3 linked regions of the Rattus norvegicus genome follow. The protein of the gene in region 1 interacts with the protein of each later gene in a pairwise test. Links are inferred from orthologs where the notes say so. Each region holds a gene or a part of one and is shown in the gene's direction. Other genes may lie near its edges. The genes, in order: Git1, C7h8orf33 and Rgs2.

Region 1 (4,337 bases):
TGTGAGGGGTCCCTCTTTCCACACCCATGACACCCTGAGGCATAGGTCCCAGAGGCAGCATAAGGTCAGGGAAAACAGTAAGTGCAGACTCTCTGGAGCTCTGTCAGACTGCTGATGGCTAAGAGGCCTCCACTCCCAAGTGGATGCACAAGGCCTCCCATCTGCCACTTGAAAGATAGGAAACCCTGGAGTCCTTGCTTAGCTATCCAGACCTTCATTTCCTCACCTGTAAAATGGGAATGTAGTAACAGGACCTACCTCTGGCTAGTGTCTGCTCCAAGCAAAGACATGGAGGGTAGTGACTGGCAGCTGCTATTATTAATTGGCATTGTCCTCTAGTGGGAAGCCCTCTGGGCCCAGGTTTGGCAAGGCCCCTTGGAGCTGGCAGGTGTGCGAGGAGCAGCCAGGTGGGGGGTTCTTGGGTACACGTGTGTCTGTCACACTCACTGCACACTCTGCTCCTCGCAGCAACTGCACTCGAGTGTGCGAACAGGCAACCTGGAGACCTGTCTGCGCCTGCTTTCCCTGGGTGCCCAGGCCAACTTCTTCCACCCAGAAAAGGGCACTACACCTCTACACGTGGCTGCCAAGGCAGGGCAGACACTGCAGGCTGAGCTGCTAGTAGTGTATGGGGCTGACCCAGGCTCCCCTGATGTCAATGGCCGCACACCCATTGACTATGCCAGGTGAGAATCAGCTAAAGGATGAGGCTTAGGTGGAAGGGAGTGACTGCTGCTGTGTGGCTGAGCCATGTCCCCTCCCCACAGGCAGGCGGGGCACCATGAACTGGCAGAAAGGCTAGTTGAGTGCCAGTATGAGCTCACTGACCGGTTGGCCTTCTACCTCTGTGGACGGAAGCCTGGTGAGCAGAGAATGGGCCTGACTAGGCCCGGGCAGGTGGGACCAGACACACCCAGCAGCAGGTGCCATAGTGACAAAGCCAGCTGGGGAACTGTGTTGCTAGGCAACTGGCTCCTGTGAAATTGCTGCAGGCTCTGGGTTGCTGCAAGTATGTTGGGGCCAAGGAGTGGGGGTGGGCCTGACTTGCAGCCAGCTTCCAATGCTCTTGGGGTGTCCTGCCCACCTCCATTCCCTTTGATACTTTCAAGTGTCACACCCTGCTCATGGTGGGAAGCGGGCTCCTGGATGCTGGTGCCACCTGCTATCAGTGACTTGGCATTTTTATTTTTGTTCAGATCACAAGAATGGGCATTACATCATCCCACAGATGGCTGACAGGTGAGTGCCCACCTGATGCCCTTTCCAGCTATTAGATGTCAAGGTGACTTGACCCAGAGCCCTGCCCCTTTCCAGGCTTCAGAGGCCTGCCCTCCCACCCTATTCCTGCACTGACTAGCAACACAGAATTTGTAGCCTAGTCCCTATTACTGTAGACCTCAAGGCAGGCGAGAAGTGTCAGTTCAACATCCAACAGTCCGCGTGAACCTTGTGATTATTATCTGGAGGGTTTAGGTACAAGGAAAGACCTAACTAGGTTCGGCCATTGTGTACTACCTGCCATGTAGGCTTTGAATGAAGTAATTCCCTCTGTAGGGAGAAGATAACTACAGGGAATTTGTTGACTTTGGAAATACTGGCCAGACCTCCATTGTGCAGTGTGCAGGGGAATAATGGTGAATTTTTGCCTCTGATCATAGCAGCCCCAAGATAACTCAGCAGTGGAGGATATCCCCAGTCACTTACTCAGTTTACAGGACAAGAATGCGCTGGCGCCACCTAGTGGTCCTCAGGGGACTACAACTTGATGCCAGGCAGCACCCCCTGGCATTAGGAGAGGTTTTCCATCATAGCCTGTGCAGGCAGATGGGTCAGGCTGTGCAGCTCAGATTCCTAAACCCAGAACTCCCCTGTTCCAAGACCCTGAGACTCAGTTCTTCTTCTCTAATCTGATCTGCCTAGGGGTGGGTGTGTGTGTGTGTGAGTGTGTGTGTGTGTGTGTGTGAGTGCGCGCGTGCAGAGTCAACACACACACAGGGACGTAGAGTCAGTGGTTGTAACTTAGCACCTCCTCAGAGCCAGCTGCTGCTCTAGAGACACCAAGGTAATGCAGACGCCACCTTGCCCTGAGCTACAACTAAACAGGCAGGACATCAGCAAGAGGTGCTAGGGTGCAGAGGTAGGAACTGCAAGCAACTTGTGTACTACAGCACAATGTGAGGGAATGAGACTGGGAGAGCCAGGTGAGCATGAACCTCGTGGGGAATCCCAGCAAGGGCACAGCCATCCTGACGGAGTTCAAGCATGGCTGGAATGGATATGTGGCAGTAAGTTACTGTATGACTTGAAGCAGGTTGCCTAGCCTGAGCCTTGGTCATCTCAATGCTAATACTTACCCTTTTGGGAATATTGAGAATAATTAATACAAAAAATACAAAGTACTTAGCATTTTTTAAAGAAAGCATTGTGAAGAAGTATGGTTGAACTATATTTATATTTGATGTACACATTACTATTGAACTGTTTTAAGACAGAGCGTGTGGCCAGACATGTAGGCACTCTGCCGCTGGATGAGAAAAGGATTTTAAAGACAAGCCTAGAAGTCTAAAAGCCCAGACCAGAGGAAACAGGGCAGAAGTGGGAGGCGAGGCTAGGGTCTGAGGAAGAAGGAAATGGGGGATGGCTTCTTGTAGCTGAGAGTGGACAGAGAAACAAGCTGGGGAGGCAAAGTCTCTTGCGTGTTCTGTTTTGGGTGTGTGTGGAGATGTGTCTGAGCTTGACATGGGAAGGCAAGAGCCGCCTGCCCCTGGGTAATTGCTGCTCTGTCCTGTTCTTCCCTTTGCTGCCTTCCTGGATTAGATCTCGGCAAAAGTGCATGTCTCAGAGGTACCCACACCTGTTGGCTGCAGGCTGTGAAGTTTGGGTGTTGGGGGGGGGGGTTGGTGTGTGACCTCGGGGTCTCATCTCCCTGAGTTCCCTGCATGCTTGGGAGGTAACCAGCAGGGCCCAGACCGTCCCTCATGTCTGGCCTCTCTCCTCCCTCCTTTGTCCACAGTTTGGATCTGTCTGAATTGGCCAAAGCTGCCAAGAAGAAGCTACAAGCAGTGAGTCTGCCTCAACAAGCTAGGACTTCTTAGAGCAGCCCTCTCCAGCCTTGCCAGGCTCCTCCCTCCAGTCACCTCCCCATGCCCTTGTCTTGATCCTGGTTCTGCCCTCCAAGTGTGTGTCCAGAGCCTCGCCTCTGGGAGGAGGAAGTAACCTGGACTCTTCCTTGCACATAGAACCTCACCCACCCCTCAGTTCTAGGACAGGCTGGGTGACAGCGGGGTCATGAAACTTCCCACATCACACAGCCTCCTGACAGACCCTGGGCCCCCTCTCTGCCTCTAGCTCAGCAACCGGCTCTTTGAGGAGCTCGCCATGGATGTGTATGACGAAGTGGACCGGAGAGAAAATGATGCAGGTGAGGGAGAAGGGACCTGCCACAAAGAGCCAGGACCCAGTGAACCAGGGAAGGGGGTGCTGCTCAGAGGCCACTGGAGTCCCTGTCACACACGACCCCCTCCCCCATACACCCTTGGGCAGCGCTAAGCTGTCAGCAGCCAGCCGCCTCTCTACCCACCAGGCACTGGGGCTCATCTTGCTCTGGCTGCCTCCCACTCTGGCTGTCTCCTCAGCCATGCTCCACCCCTACCCTGCATCACTCCTCCCTGGCCACAGCCAGATTCCAACCCAAACTCTGGGTCTGGCCTGGTGGGCCCTGCCTTGTTGTGTTGTCAGTGGGCGGGCCTCACTGGGCCTGGCCCAGAGTTTGTGTTGGTGGAGACCCTGCTTCCTGCCACACTGGCCCAGTCTGAATAGAGGAGGGCCTGGGGGGCTCTGCTCAGTGCTCCTCCCCCTCTTCTCTGAGGGTGCATTCACAGTGGGTGATCTGCTCCCTGCCCTTCCCCCACAGTGTGGCTAGCTACCCAGAATCATAGCACCCTGGTGACAGAACGCAGTGCTGTGCCCTTCCTGCCAGTCAACCCTGAATACTCAGCCACTCGGAATCAGGTGAGGAGGGATAGGCAGGAGGCCTGGATGGTTTCCTCTCTGAGAGCCCTGCCCTTCCTGCCAGAGACAAGCTGGCACCCAGGCAGGCTCTCCTGAGGCCTCCCTCAGGATCTGACTAGGAATGGCATGAAGCTATTCTCTAGTACTGGTGGGTACTTCAGCCTCCTAAGGGCTCCCTTGGGTGCCTTTGCTGACCTGGGCTGCCACACTGCTGATGTGGGGCTGGGTGTTTTAGCTACAAATAGGCGGATGGCAGGGTCCTGCTTTGTTGTCCTGTTCCAGCCCCTGAGCCAACCAGACCTGTGGTCCCTTATTCTGGCCTTGCC
Region 2 (4,437 bases), on another chromosome or scaffold:
GGCACACCTTAATACAACAGGGGTCTAACTGGCATACAGCTTGTTATAGGCATTTCAGGTGTGTGGCTTTACATGTTTTCTCATATCCGTACTCTGGTGTCACTGTGTTAGTTACTTTTCTGTTGGCTGTGATGAAACACCCTGATCAAAAGCAACTCTTGGAAGCAAAGTTAATTTGTGTTTATGGTTCCGGTCCATTATGGTGTGGAGGCATAGCAGCAACTGCCAGGAATGGCACGAGGAGTAGGAAACTGAGAGATCACATCTTCAGCTGTAAATGTAAGCAGAATCCAAACCTGAAGTGAGGTGTCTGGTGTCCTAGAACTCACTCTCTAGACCTGGCTGACCTGGAACTCACAGCGATCCCAGTGCTGGGATTAAAGGTGTGCACCACCTCCTTGAGGCTATGAACTCTTCCTACTTCATACCTTCAGGAACTTCCACTAGTGAGATGGTGCCACCCCGTAATCGTCCCAAACAGGACCACCAGCAGGGACCGAGTATTCATTTGCCTTTGGTGGAATTCTCAAACACCCACATTCCATTCCCTGACTCCTGTAGTGTTTTAAATGAGATGTCTTCTATAAATCTCTGGAGTTTGAATCCTTGGTCCCCAGTTGTTGGCTGTTTGGGAAGGATTAGGAGGTGTGTTCTTGTTGGAGGAGGTGTGTTACTGAGGGCTGGGTTTAAGGTTTTCAAAGCCTCTTACCATGCCCATGGTGTTCGCTTCCTCCTGCTTTTGGATCGAGATGTGAGCTCTCAGCTGCTGTTCCAGTCCTCCTCTGCCATGCTTTCCTTCCATCATCATAAATTTTGTCCCCCTGGACAAATTTGTCCCCTAATCAAACTATTTTTCTAAGTTGCCTTGGCCAGAGTGTTTTATGGCCATATCGTAAAGTAAAAATGCATTTAATCTAACTGTAAAAGTTCCCATCATCTTTTTCAGTTTCAACATTGTTTAAAAAGTCCCAAGGTAATCTCTTAACTATAGACCCCGGTAAAGTCAAAAGTAAAATTATATACTTCCGACGTACAAGGGCACAGTATGTACGCTGGCATTCCAAAACTGTGGAATAGAGGCATAGCGAAGAGATACAAAATACCAAACCCTGAAGCTCCGTGTCTGGTATCTGCAGTCCCACGGTTAGACCGCTATGATAGCTATTGCTATTCTTGGTTGTCAACTTGAAAACAAACGTCTGGAATTATCCTAAAACCCACGGGACTGGGTACACCTGTAAGAGAGTTTTTCTTGAGGTGGGAAGATGCACCTTAAATCTGGGCCACGTCTTCGGGTGGCAGCCTATATAAAGGTCGTGGAAGAAGGACGTTCTTGCTCTTTGCATGCTTACTCCTACTCTCGCTGGCAAGTTCACTCCTTCATTGCTATTAGAGCCTAGTTCTTCAGGATTGTGATGTATACTGGAAACCAGCTGAACCATCTGGCTTTATGTGTGCCCCGCCCCGAACCGCCCTGCATGTCCACCTTGCCCCACCTCTGGGCGTTCCCCTCCACCCCGCGGGTTCCATTCTCCCCAGGGATCGTCTTGTTTTTTGGCGGCGCACTCTGCTGGGTTTTCCGAGGCCTTAAGTTAAGTTCCTGTGCACTCTGTCAACCCAAATTACAAGCACAACCTGGAGCGCTCCGTCCCGCGGTGAGCATTGGCTCTGGGTCCGCTGTACTTTCTGCGGAACCTTGTGTCGTAGACCTGTTTCCAGGGGAGTGAGTTCGCTATGGGATTTTTAGGATTTACTAGCTTCCGGTGACCTCTCCAGCTAATGGCGGTAAGCTGTGCGAGGTGTGTTTGTGGCGAGGCCCTAGGTGGGGAGACCCTGTGAATTTCGTCCTGTCCCACGTTTTTCAGGAGCCAGGGCATCCTGCTCGGGAGGCACCAGCAGCCTCAAGCCGGAGAACTAATCGCGCTCCGCGCAGACCTCAGCTCTCTCGCCCAGCTTCCGGTGCCTCGGATCCTCCTCTTCGTAATTCAGTGCAACCTACATGTGACTCCGCCAACAGGACACATCCCGTAGGCAACACAGTATCGATGAAGCAAAAGAAAAAGAAAACCCCGAACAGGGTCTCTGGGACAAATGGAAAGGAAAAGCCCTCCGAGAATCCTACTCCAGATGAAGCTCCCCCTAGTGCTGAGGCCCAGGCAAGGATGGGACTCCCTGTGAGCTTTCTGGATGCTAACCCGCCTACCTGTGTGGGCTAGGTGTGCGGAATTAAGGCGCTGAAGGTATGGGAGTGGAGTCTGCGGGATCCTATTGCCTGCCATGTCCTCCTTTCTACCACAGGCGGAGCAGCTGGCGCGGGAGCTGGCCTGGTGTGTGGAACAGCTGGAGCTGGGTCTCAGGACGCAGAGACCCACCCCGAAACAGAGTGAGGGACCCTACTTTATAGTTAAGGAAATGTAAACCATGACAGTGCTGTGGCCTGGTGGTGTTGCCAAGGGCTGGGATTGTTGCTTTTTGTTTGTTTACGTTGTTTTGGTTGTTTTTTTGTTTTTTTTTTTTGTTTGTTTGTTTTCCCCCCGCGAGACGGTCTCATTGTACAGATCCGCTTGCCTTTGCCTCCTGGGATTAAAGGCATGTGTCACCTCAGTCGAATGGGAATTGTTGCCTTTGTAGTAGGATGATATGGAGTGTGTTTGAAGTTACTAGCGCTTTAATTTTTTTTTTTTTTTAATCTGCAGAAGAGCAGGCTGTTGGGGCAATCCGAACGTTGCGGAGTGAAAAAACCCCCTTGCCCCGGAAGAGACAGCTGATGCGCTCCTTGTTTGGGGACTACAGGGCTCAGATGGATGCAGAGTGGCGGGAGGCCCTACGGGCTTTAAAGGCTGGTGAGGAACTAGAAAGTGATTGGTTCAGTACATTAACTTCAAGGGAGTGGCTCAGCTCAGCTGGGTTAGTGGGGAAGAGATGGGCTTGGGGGGGGGGGGAATTGTAAGCATGGAGAAAAGTATATACCTATTTGGGGACAGAGGTCCCGGAAGGAGGAGGGCCGAGGTCCTCACCTCAGTCTGTTTTGGAGATGGGAAAAACCACTCATCTGTCTTGGCCTGGGCTCACTTCACTGGCTATAAAGCTAGATCCCAGTTGGACTTTAGCTCCTGAAACAATAAATAACTTTGGCATAAATCCTGGATACGTTATTTAGATTTAAACGTTTTTGGTAAGTTACTGCATCTCTGTGAGTCTCATCAGAGAAGGCATTATTTACTTTTAGTACTGAGAAGTTAGGAGAGTTGTAACTGCACAGATCACGTTAGCTGACTCTCCACTCCCCCTTCCTACAGCCACCCGCTCGGCCCAGGTACAGCTGGTTGGCGAGGCCGCCAGAAAGAAGAGTGGAAGGGTCTGCAGGCCTCGTCCTGCAGGAAGAGCCGGAACCATGTCCGACTTGACCAACGAAGAGTTCCGGTTCAATTTCTTTTAGAGGCTCCTACATGCTGGACTAGTCATCCCCTCCGGGGTGGTGAGGGGGATTTGTCTTGAGTGCAGGGCCTTTCCAGGAATCCTCTCAGCAGAAGTGGGATTGGTTTGTCCCTCAGGACATGAAGCTGCTGGCCGGTGTGAAGCTGCCACGTGAGAACTTTTGAAAGAAATGTTCTTCCTGACAGAAGAGAGATGTGGAGTAGCTGCTGGTGATAAGGAACTGTGGAGAAGCTCTCGACACACTGGGCTCACTTTCGAAAGGGCGCCCTGGCCAGTTTTCAGTGCTTTACATATTGTTATATTGCCTTAATAAATCTTTTTTTAAAGAAATAGGATGGTGGGTGGAAGAGAGCTGTCTGTGTTATTGGAAGCAAAGTGAGACAGGGGCTGGGACTGCTTGGTCCAGCTCTGATGCCAGGGCCTCATCTGTTGTTGCTGTTGCTGTTGCTGTTTTTCTGAGCAGGTCATCATCTTCAAGGAGCCAGTGTGGCCACCATCCAGCTGTGTTTTGTTTTTAGGAGCCAAGGAGCTACTTGTCCTAACCTGAACTGAGTCTTAGCAGACCGCATTTAAAACAAAACAAAGCAAAACCCTTTGTTTGTGTGTGTGAATGGTGTGTAAGTGGGCGGGTATTAGCGTGCTGGGCACACATGTATAAAAGTGTCTTTTATTCCCCTGATGTAATTGTCTTCAGAGGCTCACTGCCTTCTTCTGCTAGCCTAGGCCTAGTCCTGGAAGCTTCTAGCCTGGGTACCATCTTATCTAGGCCTGGAATGTTTTCAGTTTCTGAGACTTACTGCTGAATAAGATCACCCTTTCTAGCTCTTTTCTTAGCTCTGGCTGGCTGGTTCAACTCAACTGTTCTGACTCCAACTCCTCTCCATGCTGAGTGATTCAATCTGGCTTCTCTCTCTCAGCCTCTTACTCTATGCTCTGCTTGGCCTCAATACTAACTCTGGCAATCCGTTCTAATCCTCTGGTTCCTCATTCTCTGGCTCA
Region 3 (4,437 bases), on another chromosome or scaffold:
GAGAGCTAGGGATCAGGCAGGGGGAAAGTGACTGACTGCCCCAATAGCCACTTAGCAACTACTGGCTAAACACTGGCTCTGATTACACCTGCCGACAGCCACAAGTGTCAAGGGTCATCTGAGCTACACAGAAACATAAATGTTGATGATTTTAATGCCCAGGTTTGTTAAGTGAAAAATATATTCCTGGTTTGTATTATTGGAAAAAATCAAATATGCCCACACATTACACATATTTTTAAACAGCAACACTGTTTCCATTTTGCATGCTTAATAAATATGTATTAAATCGTCAGACATTGAAACAAATGTAGGAACAGTGCAGTTCTGTTGGGCTTATTAAAAATCCCATCTTAGCCATTCATAAGCGTGCTTTCAAGTATTTGTTACTAAAATCAAAATGATATTCCTTCTATAATAAAGGCTGTAGCAATTTTCTTCATTAGCGACTGCAGACTTTAGTTTCTGACTCAAACCTGGAGCTCAACCATGCACAGCTTGTAACAATGTGTTGCTTGGATCCCAGTTTGAGGGTCTTCATTTTCCTTTTAGTGGGTCTAGTATGAAACAGAATAACTGGAGCCTAAGCTGTACCTTTTTGTTAGTCTATCTGTTGAGACTTTATGGGAAAACCACTTAGGTATTGCACCGCATCATTCTGGTAACATAGGAAGCTGAATCAGTTTGTAGTTGAAGTCACGTATTGGTTCTTACAAATCAGGGCATATTAAACCCTGCAGGAGCAAAGACCTGATTCTGAGGATATCGCAAATGAAGCTTGTCCAAACAGATTACACCTACGGGCTCTCACATCTAGCTCTAGCCCCCAACCTTAATTTAAGCAATTGAACATCTGGTAAATCCTAAGCCTGTTCAACTGAGAATGACTCATGAGGAAATCCTGATTCCTTACACCCTGAAACTACAAATGATCCGGGTGCAGCCGAACTGGGAATCTTGGGTTTCCCTTTGTATTTCTCACTTATCACTCAGATCTATGCTATGCCCGGAGGGAGATGCCCATCAGGGAGATGCCCATCGGGTCTCCTGGGGAACGACCTTGCAACGTCACAGCCTGCTGCAACCATGCATTTAAAGATCAAGACTGCAGAACCATTTAAAACACCAGGTTTTAAGAAACACTTTCTCCTGCTTCCTCCCTGAGCAGCCTGTATTCCCTTAAGGAAATCCAAGGTGCCTCAGAGAGCTACAGAGTCACAGCACCTAGTTCAGTAGCCTGTGTTTCAGGGTTCTCTTGTTGTTGATTTCCTTCTCCAAAACAGGTGGAGTGGCCGAGTGCAGTCAGCAGGACTCTCCCCATCCCGGCTTCAGTTTATAGGTGTCCGGATGAACAAAAGACAAGTTGCAAAGGTGGGGGGCACACACCACAAACCACACGCGCGCGCGCGCGCACACACACACACTACGGTCTTCACTCAAGAAAAAGCCACAAATTCAGGACCCTTCACGGCTGTGGCCGCCTGAGCTGCCTAACAGCGATCGCTCTCTGTCCCCGCCCGCCACCTCCCACCCTGTGTGCGCACGAGGATGCGGCGCCTACGTCAACAGCGCCCTCACTTCCAGACCCTTCGGCGGCTGCCGTGACTGCCGCAGGCCCGCGTGACCCCGCCCTCGTGCCGTCTGCAGTGGGCCAATCCGCGCCCTCTAGAGGTGTGGCCGACGCCTCCAAGTCCCGCCCCTGCGCCGCCGCCCGCCTTAAAAGCTCGCGCCGCGCTCCGGGCGGCAAACAGCTGCGGTGGCCGCGGGTGTCTGAGAATGCAAAGTGCCATGTTCCTGGCTGTCCAGCACGACTGCGTACCCATGGACAAGAGCGCAGGCAACGGCCCCAAGGTCGAGGAGAAGCGGGAGAAAATGAAGCGGACACTGTGAGTATGCCCTCTCTTCCTAAGAGTTCCTACCCTGCCTGGCTTTGCTGCTAGGGACCGACCTTCTCTCGATCTCGGCTAGGAATACTCTAGACTGCGCCTCTGCAAAGAAAGTGTGGGAGAGTTGGGGGCTTGTGGGGGAGAGAAAAAGTTAGCTTGCTAGATCTGGTGGTATGTGCTTTTTCTATGTGAGCTCAGAGAGTTTAAGAACTGTAGGAAATGGTCGAAGAAGGTGGCGGTAGATGGGCTGAGAAGGCGCTGGTTGGCTTTTTTTTTTTTTTTTTTTTTTTTTGTTCTGCATTTAATGTAGCATCAGACTCCTGCAGCGGAATGAAGTCCACCGGCGCCTAGTCGTTGCATTGTTAGTTCTGAGCTGCTTGCATAGCTGCTGGGTGGGGATGTTTGAATTGATTCTCAATGTATGCGATCCGTTTTTAAATCATAAAGTAGGTCTCACCCAGTCACGACTATGGAATGAGTAATTCGCTCTGCAGTATCTGCTGCAGAGAAGCACTGTGGGCGGCCTGAGAAGGGAGCTAGGGAATCCAACACACACACACACACACACACACACCTATGCATTGTCTCTGGCATAGTCCAGACCCTCCAACACACACACACACACACACACACACACACACACACACACACACACACACCCCTATGCATTGTCTCTGGCATAGTCCAGACCCTCCTGCCTCCGGTGCAGAAAGGGAAAAAACAGCAGCTGTTCTCAATCACAAAATGTCAGCAAGTTGTAGTCAACCACACAGAAAAACCTCTATCTGTTTATTAGGTCAGAAATAGCTGGTGAAAATGTAAACTGCCTTAGGTCTTACCTAGTTCTATCCTGCTTGTGAAGCTCATTATAGTCAGACTAATGGAGAAAAGCCAGGAGGTGCTGGGTTTAAATGCTAAGGGAATGAGACTCATTGTCTGCTTTGTCTGTAGCTACTGCAACTGATGATAATTTTACCATTCAAGAATTGCTACTTGAAGTATATTTTCTTTCTTTCTTTTTTCTTCCAGCTTAAAAGATTGGAAGACCCGTTTGAGCTATTTCTTGCAAAACTCCTCTACTCCTGGGAAGCCCAAAACTGGCAAGAAAAGCAAACAGCAAACTTTTATCAAGTGAGTTTCAAATCCTGTAGTTACAGAGATGAGTATCTGGTCAAACCAGTGGACAGGAAAGGGGAGCTGTCATGTGTGGTGAAGCTCATGTGTGGAACTTCTCTTGCAGGCCTTCTCCTGAGGAAGCGCTGCTCTGGGCAGAAGCATTTGATGAACTGCTGGCCAGCAAATGTAAGTTAACCTCTTGAATGTGATCTCTTGCCGGTATCTCAAAAGCCTAGAAATGTTCCCTTCGCACCACAAAATGAGCAGTTTGCAAGAAATGCATTAGACATTACCACCACCGACAGTACAAAGCCTGTTTCTCTTTCCCTTATATCACTAAGTTTAATCATAGGGAAGCAAGAGGTATTCAACTCAGGTGGGGAAGAAAAATTAGCCTAAAAATTAAGATGCCAGTTACTCATAGCTGATTGAGTCAGCTTTTCCATTACATAGAATATTTTCAAAAGCCCTAGTTCCTAGTGGACTTAGAGTCGTCCTGTAAATACTGGTCTTGGCATTGACAGGGAAGTTAAGTATACTTTTTGTTGCAGACTACAAACTTAAGCGTTTTGCTTACTGGCATCTTAGTGCTTAAAGAGCTAGACTTCCAGAATGACAGGCTTGAATGAAGTCTAGGAAACTGATCATTTTGTACTAGGAGAGCTGTGTGTAATTCGGCCATTCCATTCATATTCTTCATACCGCGTCTCCTTGTGCTTCCAGATGGGCTTGCTGCATTCAGAGCGTTTTTAAAGTCCGAGTTCTGTGAAGAAAATATTGAATTCTGGTTGGCTTGCGAAGACTTCAAGAAAACCAAATCACCACAGAAACTGTCCTCAAAAGCAAGGAAAATATACACCGACTTCATCGAGAAGGAAGCTCCCAAAGAGGTAAGAAAGCAGGTTCCTCAGATCGTCTTCAATACTGAAGGGAAACACGAGACTTGAATACACTGCGTTCATACTCACGGGAGAGGAGCCGTGTATGGCTCTCACCCCAGCTCTCCTAACATTTAAGTTTCTCCCAAAACTGACAGTTATAACTGATCACAAACTATACCTTCATGTTTTATTATTAAGCATCGGTCTGTACCATTGAATAGCAAATAAATGGAGTTTTCTTTTGTTCTTTCAGATAAACATAGACTTTCAAACAAAAACTCTGATTGCCCAAAATATCCAAGAGGCTACAAGTGGCTGCTTCACCACAGCGCAGAAGAGGGTGTACAGCCTGATGGAGAACAACTCTTATCCTCGTTTCTTGGAATCAGAATTTTATCAGGACTTGTGTAAAAAGCCACAGATCACCACGGAGCCCCATGCTACATGAGACAGGGAGACCCCCACCGAGGACATTCCATTCTGTCTCCCGAGAGCAAAGGCTGTAACCTGCCAGAAAAAAAAAACAAACTGACCTTGAATTCAGCCTGAGTGTT

What was found.
Region 2: the proteins of Git1 (region 1) and C7h8orf33 interact in a two-hybrid assay, tested with the Homo sapiens proteins (2 studies listed by BioGRID and IntAct). The link is inferred for Rattus norvegicus from reciprocal best matches to the Homo sapiens genes GIT1 and C8orf33.
Region 3: the proteins of Git1 (region 1) and Rgs2 interact in a two-hybrid assay, tested with the Homo sapiens proteins (2 studies listed by BioGRID and IntAct). The link is inferred for Rattus norvegicus from reciprocal best matches to the Homo sapiens genes GIT1 and RGS2.

The regions. Positions count from the first base shown.
Region 1 is NC_086028.1:62,846,614-62,850,950, forward strand, and holds part of Git1 (ARF GTPase-activating protein GIT1), read left to right. Parts: intron 1-468; coding exon 469-686; intron 687-767; coding exon 768-862; intron 863-1,196; coding exon 1,197-1,239; intron 1,240-2,817; coding exon 2,818-2,844; intron 2,845-3,013; coding exon 3,014-3,062; intron 3,063-3,348; coding exon 3,349-3,421; intron 3,422-3,913; coding exon 3,914-4,011; intron 4,012-4,337. UniProt on the Homo sapiens protein: GTPase-activating protein for ADP ribosylation factor family members, including ARF1.
Region 2 is NC_086025.1:110,561,213-110,565,649, forward strand, and holds C7h8orf33 (hypothetical protein LOC681282), read left to right. Parts: upstream 1-1,522; 5' UTR 1,523-1,779; coding exon 1,780-1,785; intron 1,786-1,865; coding exon 1,866-2,156; intron 2,157-2,298; coding exon 2,299-2,383; intron 2,384-2,696; coding exon 2,697-2,843; intron 2,844-3,299; coding exon 3,300-3,439; 3' UTR 3,440-3,773; downstream 3,774-4,437.
Region 3 is NC_086031.1:58,350,006-58,354,442, reverse strand, and holds Rgs2 (regulator of G-protein signaling 2), read left to right. Parts: upstream 1-1,776; coding exon 1,777-1,886; intron 1,887-2,915; coding exon 2,916-3,017; intron 3,018-3,126; coding exon 3,127-3,188; intron 3,189-3,725; coding exon 3,726-3,892; intron 3,893-4,136; coding exon 4,137-4,331; 3' UTR 4,332-4,380; downstream 4,381-4,437. UniProt on the Homo sapiens protein: Regulates G protein-coupled receptor signaling cascades. Inhibits signal transduction by increasing the GTPase activity of G protein alpha subunits, thereby driving them into their inactive GDP-bound form.